Caenorhabditis elegans: one gene and its partner. The protein of the gene in region 1 interacts with the protein of each later gene in a pairwise test. Each region holds a gene or a part of one and is shown on either strand. Other genes may lie near its edges. The genes, in order: dhps-1 and iff-1.

Evidence for each region.
Region 2: the proteins of dhps-1 (region 1) and iff-1 interact in binary tests that used the Caenorhabditis elegans proteins (3 or more experiments, as listed by UniProt).

Annotation. Positions count from the first base shown.
Region 1 is NC_003280.10:11,989,272-11,999,691, forward strand, and holds dhps-1 (Deoxyhypusine synthase), read left to right. Parts: upstream 1-3,729; 5' UTR 3,730-3,743; coding exon 3,744-3,956; intron 3,957-4,533; coding exon 4,534-4,683; intron 4,684-5,824; coding exon 5,825-6,206; intron 6,207-7,827; coding exon 7,828-7,956; intron 7,957-8,389; coding exon 8,390-8,631; 3' UTR 8,632-8,739; downstream 8,740-10,420. Other genes in the region: Y17G7B.3 (hydroxyacylglutathione hydrolase), read left to right, coding at 904-1,074, 2,092-2,565; Y17G7B.23 (DUF281 domain-containing protein), read left to right, coding at 9,989-10,113, 10,183-10,372. UniProt on the Caenorhabditis elegans protein: Catalyzes the NAD-dependent oxidative cleavage of spermidine and the subsequent transfer of the butylamine moiety of spermidine to the epsilon-amino group of a critical lysine residue of the eIF-5A precursor protein to form the intermediate deoxyhypusine residue.
Region 2 is NC_003281.10:9,743,114-9,749,526, reverse strand, and holds iff-1 (Eukaryotic translation initiation factor 5A-1), read left to right. Parts: upstream 1-2,333; 5' UTR 2,334-2,373; coding exon 2,374-2,474; intron 2,475-2,921; coding exon 2,922-3,051; intron 3,052-3,095; coding exon 3,096-3,248; intron 3,249-3,294; exon of another isoform or gene 3,295-3,366; coding exon 3,367-3,504; exon of another isoform or gene 3,505-3,534; intron 3,535-3,553; coding exon 3,554-3,619; 3' UTR 3,620-3,665; downstream 3,666-6,413. Other genes in the region: T05G5.4 (uncharacterized protein), read right to left, coding at 1-11, 67-160, 207-309, 377-490, 534-587; cdk-1 (Cyclin-dependent kinase 1), read right to left, coding at 859-987, 1,035-1,361, 1,413-1,568, 1,617-1,823, 1,874-2,053; T05G5.1 (Prothymosin alpha-like), read left to right, coding at 6,191-6,294, 6,357-6,413. UniProt on the Caenorhabditis elegans protein: Translation factor that promotes translation elongation and termination, particularly upon ribosome stalling at specific amino acid sequence contexts.

The DNA of each region.
Region 1 (10,420 bases):
ATTGCCCAATTTTGTAGTAAAATTACGTAAAAAATTCAATTTTTTCAATTCTAAAAATAATTTTAACTTGAAAAATGCTGTTAAACTGCTTTATTTAAAAAACTGTTTTCTTTTGAAAAATTTTTATAGTCCTTATTTAATCTCCTGATACCGAATATAAATGTGAAAAAATTCCACAAAATTCCCTGATTTTTTATTAATTTTTAAAATTCGAAAATCCATTGATTTGTTAAATTCAAACGACAAATTTTGACTGATTACCGTGCCGCAGGTGTGGATTTACGAGATTAATATTTTTAATTAATTTTTATTTAATTTTCATACCAATTTTCCCGATTTTTCTCGTTTTCTCGTTGTTTTACATTGAAATTTTTGTGATTTCCATTAATTTATTACTTTATTGATAAAAATAAATAAAATTTAAATGAAATATCTGAAAATATAATACTTCATGTAATTTTATTTGTTTCTATCAATAAAAAATTCATGGAGCTCACAAGAAATTTCAATGTAAAATAACGAAAAAATAGAAAAATCGGGAAAATTGGTATGAAAATTAAATAAAAATGAATTAAAAATATTAATCTCGTAAATCCACACACCTGCGGCACAGTTATCATTCAAAATTTGTAGTTTGAAATTAACAAACCAATGGATTTTCGGATTTTTAAAAATTAATATAAAATCAGGGAAATTTTTTTGAATATTTTTAGATCGATATTCGGTATCAGGAGCATATATAGGGTTAATAGAATTTTTTTTTATTTAAAAATAAAATAAAAATACTTTCAATTAAAAAAAATTTCCAAAAAATGATTTTTTTCCCATTATTCACTTTCCATTTTAAACAGTTTTTATTCGCCATAAAAATTTTGTCAATAATTAATTTGTTTTCTCCTACAGATCGATATAACAGCAGTACTAACCACCCATCACCACTATGATCATTGTGGTGGAAATGAAGGATTTCGTCGTCAATTCCCGAATGTCATGATTCTCGGTGGAGATTCAAGGATTCCGGCAATGGATCGGCACGTGAAGCATGGTGATATGGCAGAGTTCGCTGGGCTTCAGGTTATTTTTTTGAAATTTGATTTTTGAAAAAAAAATTAAATTTTTTTTGTTCCAAAATTTTAATATTGGTTTTTTTAGAAGACCTAGCATGAAATTTTAATTTTTTGAAATAATAAAAAAACTTGGGGTTTCCAGAAGTTGCTGAAAATTTTTTGAAAATTCAACCCTTTTTCTACAAAAAAAAAATCGATTTTTTGTTGGTATAATAAAAAAATTGGAATTTTTTATTCAAAAAATTTATTAGCAGTTTTCAGCAAAAAAAACGGAAAAAATTGCAGATTTTAACTTTTTTCTAAAAAATCGCTGCAGTTTTTCTTAAATTCCAGTTTAAAAAAAAACCTTATCTTCTTGAATTTCTGAATATTTTCTCGTGAAAAAATGTTTTAAAATCAGATATTTTCAACAAAAATCAAAAATTGCGGTTTTTTTCAAAAATTGTTTTACAAAAATGACACAATGATTGAAATTGTGCAAATTTTATTGCAATTAATTATTGCAATTTTTTTTAATATTCAAAAAAATTTCTTAAATAAATTCAAAAGAAAATTCCAAATTCCAAAAAAAATTCTTTAAAAAAACCAACAAAATAAATTCTTTTAAAATCTAACAAAAAAATCCTTTGAAAATTATTAAAAATCCAAAAAAAAAACCCTAAATAATTTCAAAAAAATATTCCAAAACAGAAAAAAGGTGTATTTTTAAAATTATTTAAAAATCCAAAAAAACTCCAAAACAAGTCCCAAAAAATCCTCGAAAAAATTTTTTAAAAAATCCAAAAAAAAATCCTTTAAAAAGTATTTAAAAATCCAAAAAAATTATTTCAAAAAATCCGAAAAAAATTTTGAAAAGTATTAAAAAATCCGAAAAATCCTCAAAAAATTCTTGCAAAATCAAACAAAAAAAATCCAAAATTAAAAAAAAAATCGAACAAAAAAAAATCCAAAAAAATCCGAAAAAAAACCTTTAAAAAGTATTTAAAAATCCTTTTTTTCTCTAATAAATTCCTAAAATTTCCAGATAAAATGTCTATCCACTCCATGTCACACATCCGGTCACATCTGCTACCACATCACAAATCCTGCCGCAGATTCCACTTCCCCTGGAGTCGTTTTCACCGGTGACACCCTATTCATCGCCGGTTGTGGGCGGTTCTTCGAGGGCACGGCACCACAAATGGACGTGGCACTCAACGAAATTCTCAAAAATCTTCCAGTCGAGACCCAAATATTTCCGGGACACGAGTACACTGTCGCCAACCTGAAATTCGCGTGCCACGTGGAACCTGGCAACGAGAAAGCTGCTCAGAAGCTCGAGTGGGCTCAACGACAAATTGAGCAGGGTGGATTTACGGTTCCGAGTACTGTAGCTGAGGAAAAAGCAACGAATCCATTTATGAGGGTACGGGAATCTGAGGAAATTCAAAAATCGATTGGGACATGCGATGCGGTCGTGGGAATGGCCAAATTGAGAGAAATGAAGAATAAATTCTAATTTTTTTTTTGGTTTTTTAATATAATTTTCTTGAAAATTTAAGCTTTTTTCATTGTAAAATTATCTAAATTTTGGAAAAAAAATTAAAAAAAAAAACAAGAAAAAGTGTTTTTTAAAAGAAATTTTGTAATTTGTATTTATGGAAAAAATTAGCAAAAGAATTTTTTTCAGAATTTTTTTTTTCGAAATTTCAATGAACATTTGAGGAATTTTACTATTTTTTAATTCAGAAAATGTACAAAATTGGAAAAAAAAACTGAAATTTGATTAAAAATCATCTGAATTCGATCGAATTTAAAAAAAAATCCGAAATTAAATAATTAATTCAAAAAATACTCTATTCGTTTTAAATTTTTCTAAATTAAAAAATGACAATTTTTTGAAATCAAAAAATTATTTTGTTTTAATTTAGAAAAAATATCTTAATTTCGAATAAAAAACTTTCTTTTTGGTTTTTGGAAAGTTCCACAATCTGGGAGAATTTTTAGAATTAATTACAGATTTTTTGAAAAAAAAAAGAATTTAAATGATTTTCAATGAAATTTTAATTATGGAAACGAACAAAATTCTAAAATTACGAAAGTAAAATTTCCAAAAAAGCGAAATTTTTCAAAAAATTGGCATTTTTCGGAATTTTTGTTTTCGGAAAAACTTCCACAATTTAAATTTTAAACGAATTGAGAATTTTTGAATTAATTACGGATTTTTTTTGAGAAATTTTACAAAAATCGAATTTCGATGATTTTTATTTTTTTCAAACAAATTTTGGTTTTTTTTTGTTGTGAACTTTCTTTATAAAATCGAACCAAAAAAAAGTTGTTTTTTTTTTCGAAAAAAAAATTCTGAATTTTTTCTAAACTACGAAATCTAAATTGCTAAAAAAAATTGTATAAAAATCGGCATTTTTATTGTAAATTGATTTGATTTTATGTGATTTCATTCCGGTTTTAATTTCTATTTTCCTGCTAAAATGTCTATAAATTTATGCTTATTCATTTTTTTCCGATTTTTTTTGGTACAAATTTTGTTAATTCAGTTTTCAATCATATTTTATTTGATTTATTGTATTTTTTTTTTTGGATTTTTTCAAAAAATTTTAATATTTTGTCTAATTTTACACCTAACTAATAGTAAATTCAGTAAAAACCCGCCTCAATTTTTCAGAAACTTGCTCCAAAATGAGCACCAACGAAGCAGCAGCATCTCAGGAGGATATAGCACTTGCTCAGGGAGCAGTTCTCGTGAAATCATGTCAAGTACCGGATGGTTCAATTCCGATTCGCGGATTCGATTTCAGCACGGCTTCTGGTCCGGATTTCTCGCTTTCCGCCATTCTTTCGTCTTATATGAGCACAGGATTTCAGGCAACACATTTGGCTCAGGCTATTCAGGTAGCCAGTTGCAAAAAATTCAGATTTAATTTGGAAATCAGAAGGAAAATTGAAAATTTCGAAAAAAAAATTTAATTCGAAAATTCCCGGTTTTTTAATGATTTTCTGAGAATGTCAGACTTATTGATTTTTTTTGAATCGAAAAAAAATTTTATTAAAAAAAAAAAAAATTCTGGGAAAGTTGAAATTAAATTATATTTAAACATAAAATAATGTAAAAAAGAAAAAATTAGAAAAAAATCATAAAAAAATGTATTTCGAAAATGCTTTTTTACATTTTTTAGGCGGAAATTTTCCTTTTTTTTATGATTTTCTGAGAAAGTCGACCTTTTTTATTTTTTTTTCTCAAATTCCAAATAAAAATTTTTTAAACTTATAGTTAAATTTTTAAAAAATTTTGAAAAAATCGCAAAAATTTTTATTTTTAATTTTTGAAATAGTCGGACTTATAGATTTTTTAAAATAAAATTCTGGAAGAATTTTAACTTCAAAAAATAATTTTTTTTACAAAAAATTTGGAAAAATAGCAGCAAAAAATTGTTTTACTCAATAAATTCCGAATTTTCCCAATTTTCAGCAAGTAAATCAAATGCTCTCCCTCCGTGATACTCCGTTGACTTGTGACGACGACGAGAAGCTTTTCCCATATCCAGAAGGTCGGCAAAAGAGATCATGTACTATTTTCCTCGGATACACGTCGAATTTGGTGACCAGTGGGCTTCGTGAGGTCCGTAAATCTACAAAAGATCTACACAAAAGTTGAAATTCCTCGTAATTCTACACGAAAACTATGTTTACCGTAAATCTACCCAAAATTGATCTTTGTAAATCTACACGAAAACTGAATTTCCCCGTAAATCTACACGTGAAAAATTAGTGCTTCCCGCAATTCTACGAAAAAACAATTAAAATTCCCCGTAAATCTACACAAAAATTGAAAGTCCTCGTAAATCTACACCTGAAACACTAGTGCTTCATGTAAATCTACCAACAAATTAGATTTACATGAAGTAAATCTACAACAAAAATCAAAGTTTCTCGTAAATCTACACCTTAAAAAGCTATGGTTACCGTAATTCTACACATAACTGATTCTTCTTGTAAATCTACACATCAACTCTAAAAATGACCCAAATCTACACTAAAATGTCCCCGTAAATCCACACCAATCCCCGTAAATCTACACAAGAAAAAATATATTTTTCCGTAAATCTACACAAAACTGAATCTCCCCGTAAATCTACACAAAATTGATCCTCGTAAATCTACACAAAATTGAATTTCTCCGTAAATCTACATAAAAACGGAATTTCCTGGTTAATCTACACAGAAATTCAAATTCCCCGTAAATCTAAATAAAATTTGTATTCGTCGTAAATCTACATCTAAAAAATCCTGCTTCTCGTAAATCTACAAAAAAAAACACAATTTCCCTGTAAATCTACACAAAAATTAATACTTCTCGTAAATCTACACAGGAAAATAAATACTCAGCTTTCTCGTCAATCTACCCACAAAAACTATGCTCACCGTAATTCTACACAGAACTGATTCTCCTTGTAAATCTACACATCAATTCTAAAATTGGCCCAGAAGCCTAAATCCATTAAGAAATATTGTAAATCTACACTAAAATGCCCCCGTAAATCCACACCAAACCGTCTCTAAAAAAATTTTTAAATTCAAATTCAATGTGCTGTTATTTCTCGTAAATTTACACAAGAACATATACTTCCGTAAATCTACACCGAAATTAGCGTCTCGTAAATCTACACAAAACCTGAAATTTCCCCGTAAATCTACATAAAGGTACCGTAAATTCACTCTAAATTCGTAAATCCACCCAAATGAAAAATTAAAAATTCCAGGTACTCCGCTATTGTGTCCAACGTAACCTAGTCGACTGTATCGTAACATCAGCGGGAGGCATCGAAGAGGATCTCATCAAATGTCTCAAACCTTCCTACCTCGGTACATTCACAATGGACGGTGCAAAACTTCGATCGAATGGAATGAATCGAGCCGGCAATGTGCTCATTCCGAATGATAATTATTGTGCATTTGAGGATTGGCTTATGCCAATTCTTGATGAATGTCTTGTTGAACAAGAGGAAAAGCATCTCAATTGGACACCGTCAAAGCTTATTCAACGGCTTGGTGAACGGATTGGTGATGAATCGTCGATACTGTATTGGGCGGCCAAGCATCGGATTCCCGTATTTTGTCCGGCGCTTACTGATGGGTCATTGGGTAGGGGATTTTGAATTTGGATTTTGAAAAATAAATCGAATTTTGGAGAAAAAATTCGAAAAAACTTTGAAAATAGATTTTTTTTAATTTATCAATTTTGCAAAAAAAAATATTCAAAGATTTTGAAAAATTGGAAAAAAAATTGAATTTTTTGAAAGAATTTGTTGGCAAATTTGCCGGAATTTTTCATTTTCGGCAATTTGCCGGTTTGCCGGAATTTTTCATTTTCGGCAAATTGCCGATTTGCCGGAAATTGTCAATTCCGCCAATTTGCCGGTTTGCCGATTTGCCGGAAATGTTCAATTCCGGCAATTTGCCAAATTTTCCGAAATTTTTCAATTCCGGCAATATGTCGATTGCCGGAATTTTTTATTTTCGGCAAATTGCCGATTTTCCTGAAATATTTAATTCCGACAATTTGCCGGTTTGCCTATTGCCGGAAATTTTCATTTTCGGCAAATTAGCGTTTTGCCGGAAATATTAAATTCCGCCAATTTGTCGGTTGGCCTATTTCCGGAAATTTTCATTTTCGGCAAATTGCCGATTTGCCGGAAATTGTCAATTCCGCCAATTTGCCGGTTTGCCGATTTGCCGGAAATGTTCAATTCCGGCAATTTGCCAAATTTTCCGAAATTTTTCAATTCCGGCAATATGTCGATTGCCGGAATTTTTTATTTTCGGCAAATTGCCGATTTTCCTGAAATATTTAATTCCGACAATTTGCCGGTTTGCCTATTGCCGGAAATTTTCATTTTCGGCAAATTAGCGTTTTGCCGGAAATATTAAATTCCGCCAATTTGTCGGTTGGCCTATTTCCGGAAATTTTCATTTTCGGTAAATTGCCGATTTGCCGGAAATTTTCAATTCCGCCAATTTGCCGGTTTGCCGATTTGCCGGAAATGTTCAATTCCGGCAATTTGCCAAATTTTCCAAAATTTTTCAATTCCGGCAATATGTCGATTGCCGGAATTTTTCATTTTCGGCAAATTGCCGATTTTCCTGAAATATTTAATTCCGACAATTTGCCGGTTTGCCTATTGCCGGAAATTTTCATTTTCGGCAAATTAGCGTTTTGCCGGAAATATTAAATTCCGCCAATTTGCCGGAAATATTAAATTCCGCCAATTTGTCGGTTGGCCTATTTCCGGAATTTTTCATTTTCGGCAAATTGCCGATTTGCCGGAAATGTTCAATTCCGGCAATTTGCCAAATTTTCCAAAATTTTTCAATTCCGGCAATATGTCGATTGCCGTAATTTTTCATTTTCGGCAAATTGCCGATTTTCCTGAAATATTTAATTCCGACAATTTGCCGGTTTGCCTATTGCCGGAAATTTTCATTTTCGGCAAATTAGCGATTTGCTGGAAATATTAAATTCCGCCAATTTGCCGGAAATTTTAAATTCCGGCAAAATGCCGATTTGCCCATTTGCCGGAAAAAATTTTTTTTCGGCAAATTGCCGTTTTGCCGATTTGCCGAAAATGTTTAAAGGGATTTTTTATAAGAGAGCATCGAAAAAAAAAATTGCATTATTTTTAAACAAAATTTGCAAAAAATTGTTAAAGTTTTTGAAATTTGAAAAAAAAATTCAAAAAATTTTTATTTTAGTCAATTTTTTCAGGTGACATGTTGTACTTCCATTCGGTGAAAAGCTCACCTGGGCTTCGTGTGGATATTGTAGAGGACGTTCGACATATTAATACAATTGCTGTCAAAAGTTTCAAGACTGGATCAATTATTTTAGGAGGAGGTCCGAAATTAAAAAAAATATGTGAAAAACCCTGTTTTAGAAATTTTAAATTAATTTTTTCTCAAAAATTTTATGAATTTTCCAACATTTTTTTTGCAGTTTTCTGAAGATTGAAAAATTATTGAAAAAAATTGAGAAAAAAATTAAACTTTGAATTTTGAATTTGAAAATACCATAGTAATGAAAGCAATTTTCCAAATTTATTGTTAAATTTAATTTTCATACACTTTTTTCTAGTTTTTTCCAAAATAAAAAAATTTCTCGAAAATTTTAACGTAAAATTTCTTTGAAAAAAAGCTGAGTATGTAAAAAAAAATTTGGACTTTAAACAAAAAGAATTTAAACTAATTTTTTAAAATCAAATTCACAAAATTTGAAAAAAATGCTTTCCAGAATTTTTCCCCATTTTTGTCAAAAAATCCTACAATTCCAGGAGTCGTAAAACACCACATCAACAACGCGAATCTCATGAGAAACGGCGCAGATCATACCGTCTACATCAACACCGGCCAAGAATTCGATGGCTCCGATTCTGGAGCTCAACCCGACGAGGCAGTGAGCTGGGGGAAGGTTAAGCCGTCGGCTGGAGCTGTGAAGGTTCATGCTGAGGCGACACTTGTATTCCCACTTTTGGTTGCTGAAACTTTTGCAAAACATGAAGGACACAAGGATTAGGAATTTTTGCCAAATTTTCCCCCAATTTTTAAAACTATTTTTTCATTGTTACCTGTTTTGTTGACTTTTTCACTTGTTTGTTATTTTCTTAATACAGATTCTTTAATATTACTTTTTTTTAATTTACGAATGATTTGCGGGACAAGAAAACAATTAAAATATTTCGAAAAATCGAATTTTTGAAGATTTTTTCAAAGAACTTCAAAAAAATTCCTCAATTTTTTCTGAAAAGTTCAAAAAAAAATTAGCTGTTCAAAAAATTGTAACAAATCCGGCAATTTGCTTGCCGGTTTGCCGATTTGCCGGAAATTTTTAATTCCGGCAAATTGCCCGTTTGCCAGAATTGTTTAGAGGGATTTTTTATAAGGAAACACTTAAAACTGTGTCTTTATGAATTTTTTTCCCGTTTTTTCTACATATTTTCATAGAATTTGCTTACTTTTCAAAATAGATGTAGGAACATTCATAGGATGCGCTTAATTTTGTCATTTGAAATTGATATTCTGAAATTTCCAAAAACATAAGTGCGAAACTACAATTTGCCGAAAATTTTCGGTAAACTCCAGTTTTCCGGCAAATTCGGCACATCGGCAATTTGCCGGTTTGCCGATTTGCCGGTTTGCCGATTGGCCGGAAAAAATCGTTTTCCATCCACTGTACTGTAGCGCTTGTGTCGATTTACGGGCATCATTTATTAATCGATGAAACATCGAAAGAAAACACAAAAAAGGACAAAACAGTACGAAAAAACTAAAGAAAATTCGAAAACCGAACCCGTAAATCGACACCAGCGCTACAGTAGTCCTTCATGAAATTACTGTAGTTTTCGCTATGAGATATTTTTAGATTTAGAGATATGTTAGGCGATATGCTTTCTCAGGATTTTTGTCTTCTCGTAATATATGTTTTTTTCCTAATTTTTTTGCAACAATGATTAAAAAATTAAAAAAAAAAACCAAATCCAATTCTATAACAGTATTTTCCTGTTCTTATTTGTATAATTGACTCACTGCACATAATACACTAAAACTCATGACTCTTCTCAAAACTGACATTCTCTGAAAACTATTTGCCTATACGGTCGTAAATTCTTGTTTTTTTTCTGAGAATTTTTCAGACTTTTCCAGAATTTCAGAACCCCTTTTATGACTTTTTGAGTCACTTTAATAGACAAACAAACATTTTTCGTATAAAAGAAGTGCTCCGAGTGCTCAATTGTCCCGGCTCGTTCAATTGGAATTTTGTCCTTTTTCTTGTTATTCTTTTTATGTTTATTTAATCTAAATATAAATATTTTTTCAGATAAAAAGGCATAATGATGTCATTGAAAATTCAAATTTTTTTGTTAACATTTATGATGTGGATTTTGGGAGTCCGGGCGCAGGACAAAGATTGCATCCAGTGTGCAACATCAAACTTAATGGAAGATTGGGGAGCAACAGGACTTCCGCTGAAACCGGCGAATCTCCTGTTTGATGACAAGTGCGTTTTCATGTTATAATCATACACCTAGCGGCATAACTTAAATGCAACCAGACACCCTTATTTCAGATGCGGTACGCCGAATAGTTTAGTGAGTACTGTTTCTGGCAACTGTGCATCGATGTGCTTCGAACTCATGATTCCGGTGAACAATAAGCTCGCGTTTGTACGAGGGTGTCACGCTGATTTTGTATGGGACGAGTTCGCGTCACATAATGAGTCTTGTCATCAGTACGTGGACGATGTAACAGTTATTAAGGTTAGTTGGGCACTCTTTGAAAACATGATCAACAACTGGAAAATGATG
Region 2 (6,413 bases), on another chromosome or scaffold:
GGGCACGGTAGCTGCAAGTGGAAATTATAATGACAGCTGGAAAGTTAGAGAAATGTAATATCTTACTTTTGTTTTCGAATCAAAGTTCCGCTTTCAAAAGCTTGTTGCAACATTTTTCGATTTTCTCTAAAATTCAAATACTGCTCAAAATCCTTGTCTTCTGAAATTTCAGATATTCGAGAGAATGAATAAATATTAAACAATACCTTCCCGGTAATAGTTTAAAATATCTTTCCTAGACTGATTCTTCTCATAAAGATCAGCTTTGTCCATCAAAATAGAAACCTTCGAGTGATGAATGTAAATGTTCTAAACACAATTATTTTGATTTATTCTCTAAATTGTATTTAATCCTATATATAGGGATATATCCTACCGGTCCCAATTCTAATTGACGTGCAATTGGAGACCACGAACGATAAGTGAATCCCCAGTAAAGATCATCGAGGAATTCTACAATCGATGGGAAGAAGAAAATTGCAAGAATAATCTTAATAGCTCCAGTTAGATTAGTTTTCGTTACCTTAGCTTACGTGCGAAATGTTAGACAGAGAAATTACGAATATTGGAATCACTGCAGCGATCATTCTTCAGAATGGAAAAATAATAATAATGAATTCTTAATTCCCTATTCTCATTTACACGTTGAACAAAGTGCTTGAATAAAAAAGAGCATGAAAGTAGAGCGAATTTATTTATCGCGGTGTGAAAAAAGAGATTACTCATGAATATCGAAGGGCCAAATAATCATCGTACAGGTAAAAAGTTGAAATGGTGATAGTTAAACAATACACGGAAGACGATAGGTGGTTAAAGCACGGGAGAATAAATAATAAAAATGATGATGAATGAATTACATCAAAAGAGTTCGAGTTCTCCTCGGTAATTTCCAGCTGGCAGCTTTGACGTATCCATGTTGTCAAAATAAGGATGAACGAGAGCTTTTTTCGCGTTGAGACGAAGTGATGGATCGTAGATCAGCAAACCCTGAAAATATTATTTTACTTGTTAAAGTACTATTTTAGAAATCTTACTTCAAGAAGAGAGAATGCAGTATCGTCCAAAAGGTGCTTTCCAGTCTTCTTGTCGTAGAACTTGTCACGGAGGAAATTCTCACGCCATTTTGGGAACGTCGCCTTGTAGTCCGGAAGTGATTCAACACCATTCCATTCCAACTCAGTCGGTGTGCCGAGAACTCTGAAGATGCGGAACAGCTCATCAATTTCTGAATCTCCTTGAAACAGTGGCTTCTTCGTGGCCATTTCAGCAAAAATGCATCCAATCGACCACATGTCTACGCCCATCGAGTATCTCTGAGCACCCATCAGAATTTCTGGAGCTCTATACCAGAGAGTGACAACCTGAAAACCGGACAATCATTGTATTGGTGTACAGAATGAATGCAAACTCACTTCATGCGTGTAAACGCGAATCGGGATACCAATAGCTCTGGCAAGTCCGAAATCGGCAAGCTTGATTGCTCCATTGTTGTCGACCAGCAAGTTCTGTGGCTTAAGATCGCGATGAATAACACGACGCTGATGACAAAAACACATAGCTTGAAGAATCTGGAACAATTATTCTTGTAAAGACATCGATTTTAAATATTTCCTCACTTGGAATGTGTAACTTTTAAGAGTTTCGAGCGGAAGGTATTCATCTTTTCCCAACTGATCCATGTATCGTTTCAAGTCGAAAGACAGGAATTCGAAGATCAGGAAAAGCCGGTTCTCCTGCATAATGACCGCTTCCAATCCAACAACATTCGGATGCTGGAGCTCTTTGAGCAAGCTGATCTCTCGCACAGCCGTTGATGGAACACCCTATAAGAATTATTGTTTGAAAAAACGAAACTGCTACAAAATTCAAATACCTCATCTTCACTTTCCAATCTGATTTTCTTCATAGCAACCATGGCATTGGTTCTTCTGTTTTTGCCTTTGTAGACGACTCCGTATGTTCCTTCGCCGATTTTTTCGAGCTTCGTGAAATCGTTGAGTGTGTAAACCGAATCTCCCTCGTGGGCCACTTCTCCTTCGCGAATAGGATCCATAACTAAAATTGGAAATGAATTTTGTCAGAACAATTGTAATACAACGATAGAAAAGGCGTAAGCGTGTAATTTTGAATCATTTCCACTGCCGCCGAAAAGGGGGGACAGTCGGTGCGAGACCATTGCTTAGTGAAAAGGCATGCACCTTTGATGACAATTTATTCCGAAAAGGAGAGTACGCGCTGAGAAGGATTGTTGTGAAACATTGCATTCATATGATAAAATTTAACGCAAAACTGTGCAGAAAAGAGAATAAATACAGGCCGGAAAATATAAAAATAACTACTCAAAATAATCATAAACTTGATTTGTTCTACTTTATGAGGCTTCCAACAAAACTAAACAGAGTTTCAAAGAAAAATCGTAATCTTGGCTTCGGAGGGTGGATGGCGAGAGTTGCTGCCCCGAAGACCATAGAGAGGTAATTTTTATTATTTAATTTTACATGATGAAAGCGAAATTTGGCAAGTAAGCAACGAATGCATTTTTAGGAAATTATTTATTCAGATAAATCAAAAAATAGAGCAGATTCCTTGAAATCCTAAAAAAGTGAGGACTTCGATTCTGTCTGAAGATGGAAGTTGGCGCCAAATTTTTGGCTGCGTAGCGACTCATTCTTCATTGTGATACGCAGCCAAACAACGTCCTTTCAAAAAAATTCGCGCATTTGATTTTCTCTCGATTTCTATACTTTTCTCAGGTTTGTACAGTGTTTTTCTTGCTAAGATCAATATTTTATTAGAAATGCATCAAATTTCTCAATCAAAACAATTTTTTCCTGCAAACCTTTTTTTCCAAATTTATTTTTTGAATTTCTCGTTGGAAACTAGTTGAAAATGCTAAAATAATTGATAAATCTTTGTTGCAGTATGTCCGAAGATCATCACGACGAGGAGCAATTCGACTCTGCCGAGTCCGGAGCTGCTGCTACTTTCCCGAAGCAATGCTCGGCTCTTCGCAAGAACGAGCACGTCATGATCCGAGGAAGACCATGCAAGGTAAAAAATAATTCAGTGAATTTTCCTAATTAGAAATTTTTTAGATCGTCGAGATGAGCACCTCCAAGACTGGAAAGCACGGACATGCTAAGGTTCACATGGTTGCCATCGATATTTTCACCACCAAGAAGCTTGAGGATATCTGCCCATCCACCCACAACATGGACGTCCCAGTCGTCAAGAGACGCGAGTACATTGTAAGTTGTTAATTAGTTTTTAAGAAGGCTTTCAAAAAAATCAACTTTGGACGGTTAAACAAATCTTTTGAAAAATGAGTTAATCAGCTGTAAAAAATGTTATTGATCAAATTTTCAGCTCATGTCGATCGAAGACGGGTTCTGCTCGCTCATGGATCCAGAATCTTGCGAGCTCAAAGACGATCTCAAAATGCCAGAAGGAGACTTGGGAAACACTATCCGTGAGGCTCTCGAGAAAGACGAAGGAAGCGTCTTGGTAATTATTTCGACATCCACCTTTTGAATCTGAAAATTTTGATTTTCAGGTTCAAGTCGTTGCTGCCTGCGGAGAGGAGGCTATTCTCGGATACAAGATTTCTACCAAGGAATAATTGCATTTATATACAATTTCATAATAAAAGCAGTTCCAGTTTAATCATCCCGCTTTTTATACATCATTCGAAAAACATCGGGCAATGAACAAGTGCACCTCCGCTGGTGTTGTGTAATGTGGGTGTTTTATGTGTCGTGTTGATTGTGATATCTGCTCACCAAACGAAAATGAATTGCTTGCAAACCGCGGAGGTGACATCTGTCCATGGAGTGTTAAATCAGATTCAGTTGTCAGACTTTGTAATCACAGTTCCTAGTTTTTGGAACTACATGGCCTGTGCAGCTTTTCCACCCTTTGTACACTACACCTTATTGCTTATTGAGTTGACCCCAGGTTGGCCGCGTGCCAATAGAGCTGTTCACTTTAAAACGTGTCCTCCTCCGCGACCTGCGAGCACCCCCTTAACCACGATAATATCTAGGTGCAGTATCAAAGACCCACCTTCCTCAAACCTCACTAGCCATCCTTCCTTCATCAATTGGCAATTTAAAAGAGTCGCATAAATTTCACAGTCACCCAGGAAGATTTCGTAAACTCTACGCTTCCATCATCATCTCGCCACATCTCGCACCTCCTGCCGCGTTTACACCCGTGTCCACTCTTTCATCAGCCTTGATTGTTTGCCTTTCTCCAAAACCACACATATATCCGTCCTAATCTAGATTACTGTAGTCCGTCTCCACCTGTTCTTACTTAAGCTTTTCCTATCTCCGGCTTGCCTTCACATTCGCAAACAAAGCCTGAGAATTTGATGAGTATTTGTTCCATTTGTTGCATCAACCAGCATGTTGTATAACTGTTCATTTTACGATTCCAATAAGTTTTTATGATGGAGTACTGTTAATAGCGTTTTTACTTTAAAATTCTCAAACTGGTTAGCAGACCAATTTTGGGTCTGCTAAATAGTTTTTATAAAAAAACCATTGACAGTACAGCCTCTAAAAAAGATTAAAATAATTTTTGAATTCAGAAAGTTCTTGTTTCATATAAATAAGAGCCATCCCTCTACACGGGTCATCTAGTAGCTCTAGGTCGACACCTGTTCGTAGCAGGTTTTATGAGCTCAACAAAGGTTGTAGGTGAGCCGTGCCAACGTCTCAGTTTCAAATTCCGAGTTGAGTATTACGAAAACCTGGGTATAAAACGAGGGGATGCCGAGAAAAAAAGAGTAGTGGACACACACACACATACGTCTCATCTTCTTATTTCTTTTCGTTTCTTCCCGTCCAGGAGCCACTTGTCGTCCCGTCGTCATTTTGAGTTCCAAATGATGAAAGATTCAATGAATCACGGAGACGCAGGGTCCCGTCGATGGCTCATTTTGCGTGTTTTAGTGGCGGGACACAGGAAGAAGTCGAAGATTCACAACATGTCGCAACTGATTCATCACTAGTGCCTTCTTGCTCCAAGAGCAATGTTTTTCTAATTAGTTTGTACTACTTGATAACTTCTTAAGATTTGTTCTACTACTTTTAAAAATTTGGTTTTGTAGCTAGAAATCCTGAAAAAAAAAACATTTTTGCTATGAACTTTTTTTTGGATATACTTTTATAAACAGCATCTAGAATTAGTTAGAGTACCTGAAAAATCAAAAATACGAAATAGTACTTGTATCCTATGTGCGAAGTTGCACGATTTTCATTGCAAAATTAGGGTCTCCGGTCTCGCGACGACCGAAGAAAATATAAATAAATTGAAATGAAAACGAGTGTGCGCCTTTAAGAAGTACAGTAGTTTTTTTTGAAAGTTTCCTTGAATTTTTTTTCCACTTCAAATTATTCGTTTCGCTTCGAGACCAAGTACCGTAATAGTACCGTAAATTTCGAATTCCTATTTTTTAAAAAAATTCTTTAAACTGAATTTAATCAAAAATCAATATTCAAGTTAAATTTTCACCTTTTTGGTGAGTTTCAATTTCTCGAATGATACAGTAATTTTGAAAAAATAATTTTTTCTTATTTCAAATAATCTAAAAAATAAAACTTCATATTCTTTCAATGATGCCGAAATTTACAAAAGCCATGGTAGTTTATTAGAATTTTTTAGAATTTCATGTCAAAAAATTGGAATAGTTTTCACCTATCATAATTTGGAATTTGTAATTTTGACCAAAAAAGTCCTACGAATTTTGTATTTAAATTCAAGAATCATAGAACTTCGAACCTGCAGGAATGTCCAAAATTGTTAGACTTTAATTTTTTGTTGGGGAATTGTTGGTTTTTTTTTTTGAAAAAGTGTTAGACCTATATTTGTATGAGTACAAATGCTTTAAACATAATTAGAAACAAAAACAATTTAAAAAAATCTTTAATTATTTGGTTGACTTCCAAAATTGTTGAGAACTTGCAATTTTTGGATATAGATGGAACCAATTTCAATTTTTTTAAATAAAAAAGTATTGCTATGATATTTGACAATTCATCTTCTTCTCTGTATTTTCCGTACCCCAATGGTTTGCACTTCAATATAAGTTTTAAATTTAAAAAAGTTGATTTCCTTGTTTCCAAAACACTTCTATGCCTTAAAATGTGATAAAAATATAATAAACGATTCAATATTAATTCAGAAAATGCATTCACGGATATTGTTACTACTTTTGATGTTCGCATTCAATGTCGGCCTAATCAATTGTGGTCAAAGTCTTGTATCACCTCAATCAAACTGTAAAATCAGGTAAAATTACCCACTATTGACAACCACCAATTATATCTTCTTCTTATAATTTCTAATTATAGGTGCGAAAATGGTGGAATGTGTGTTTTCGATTTGGAGCGACCCGATTTTCATTCATG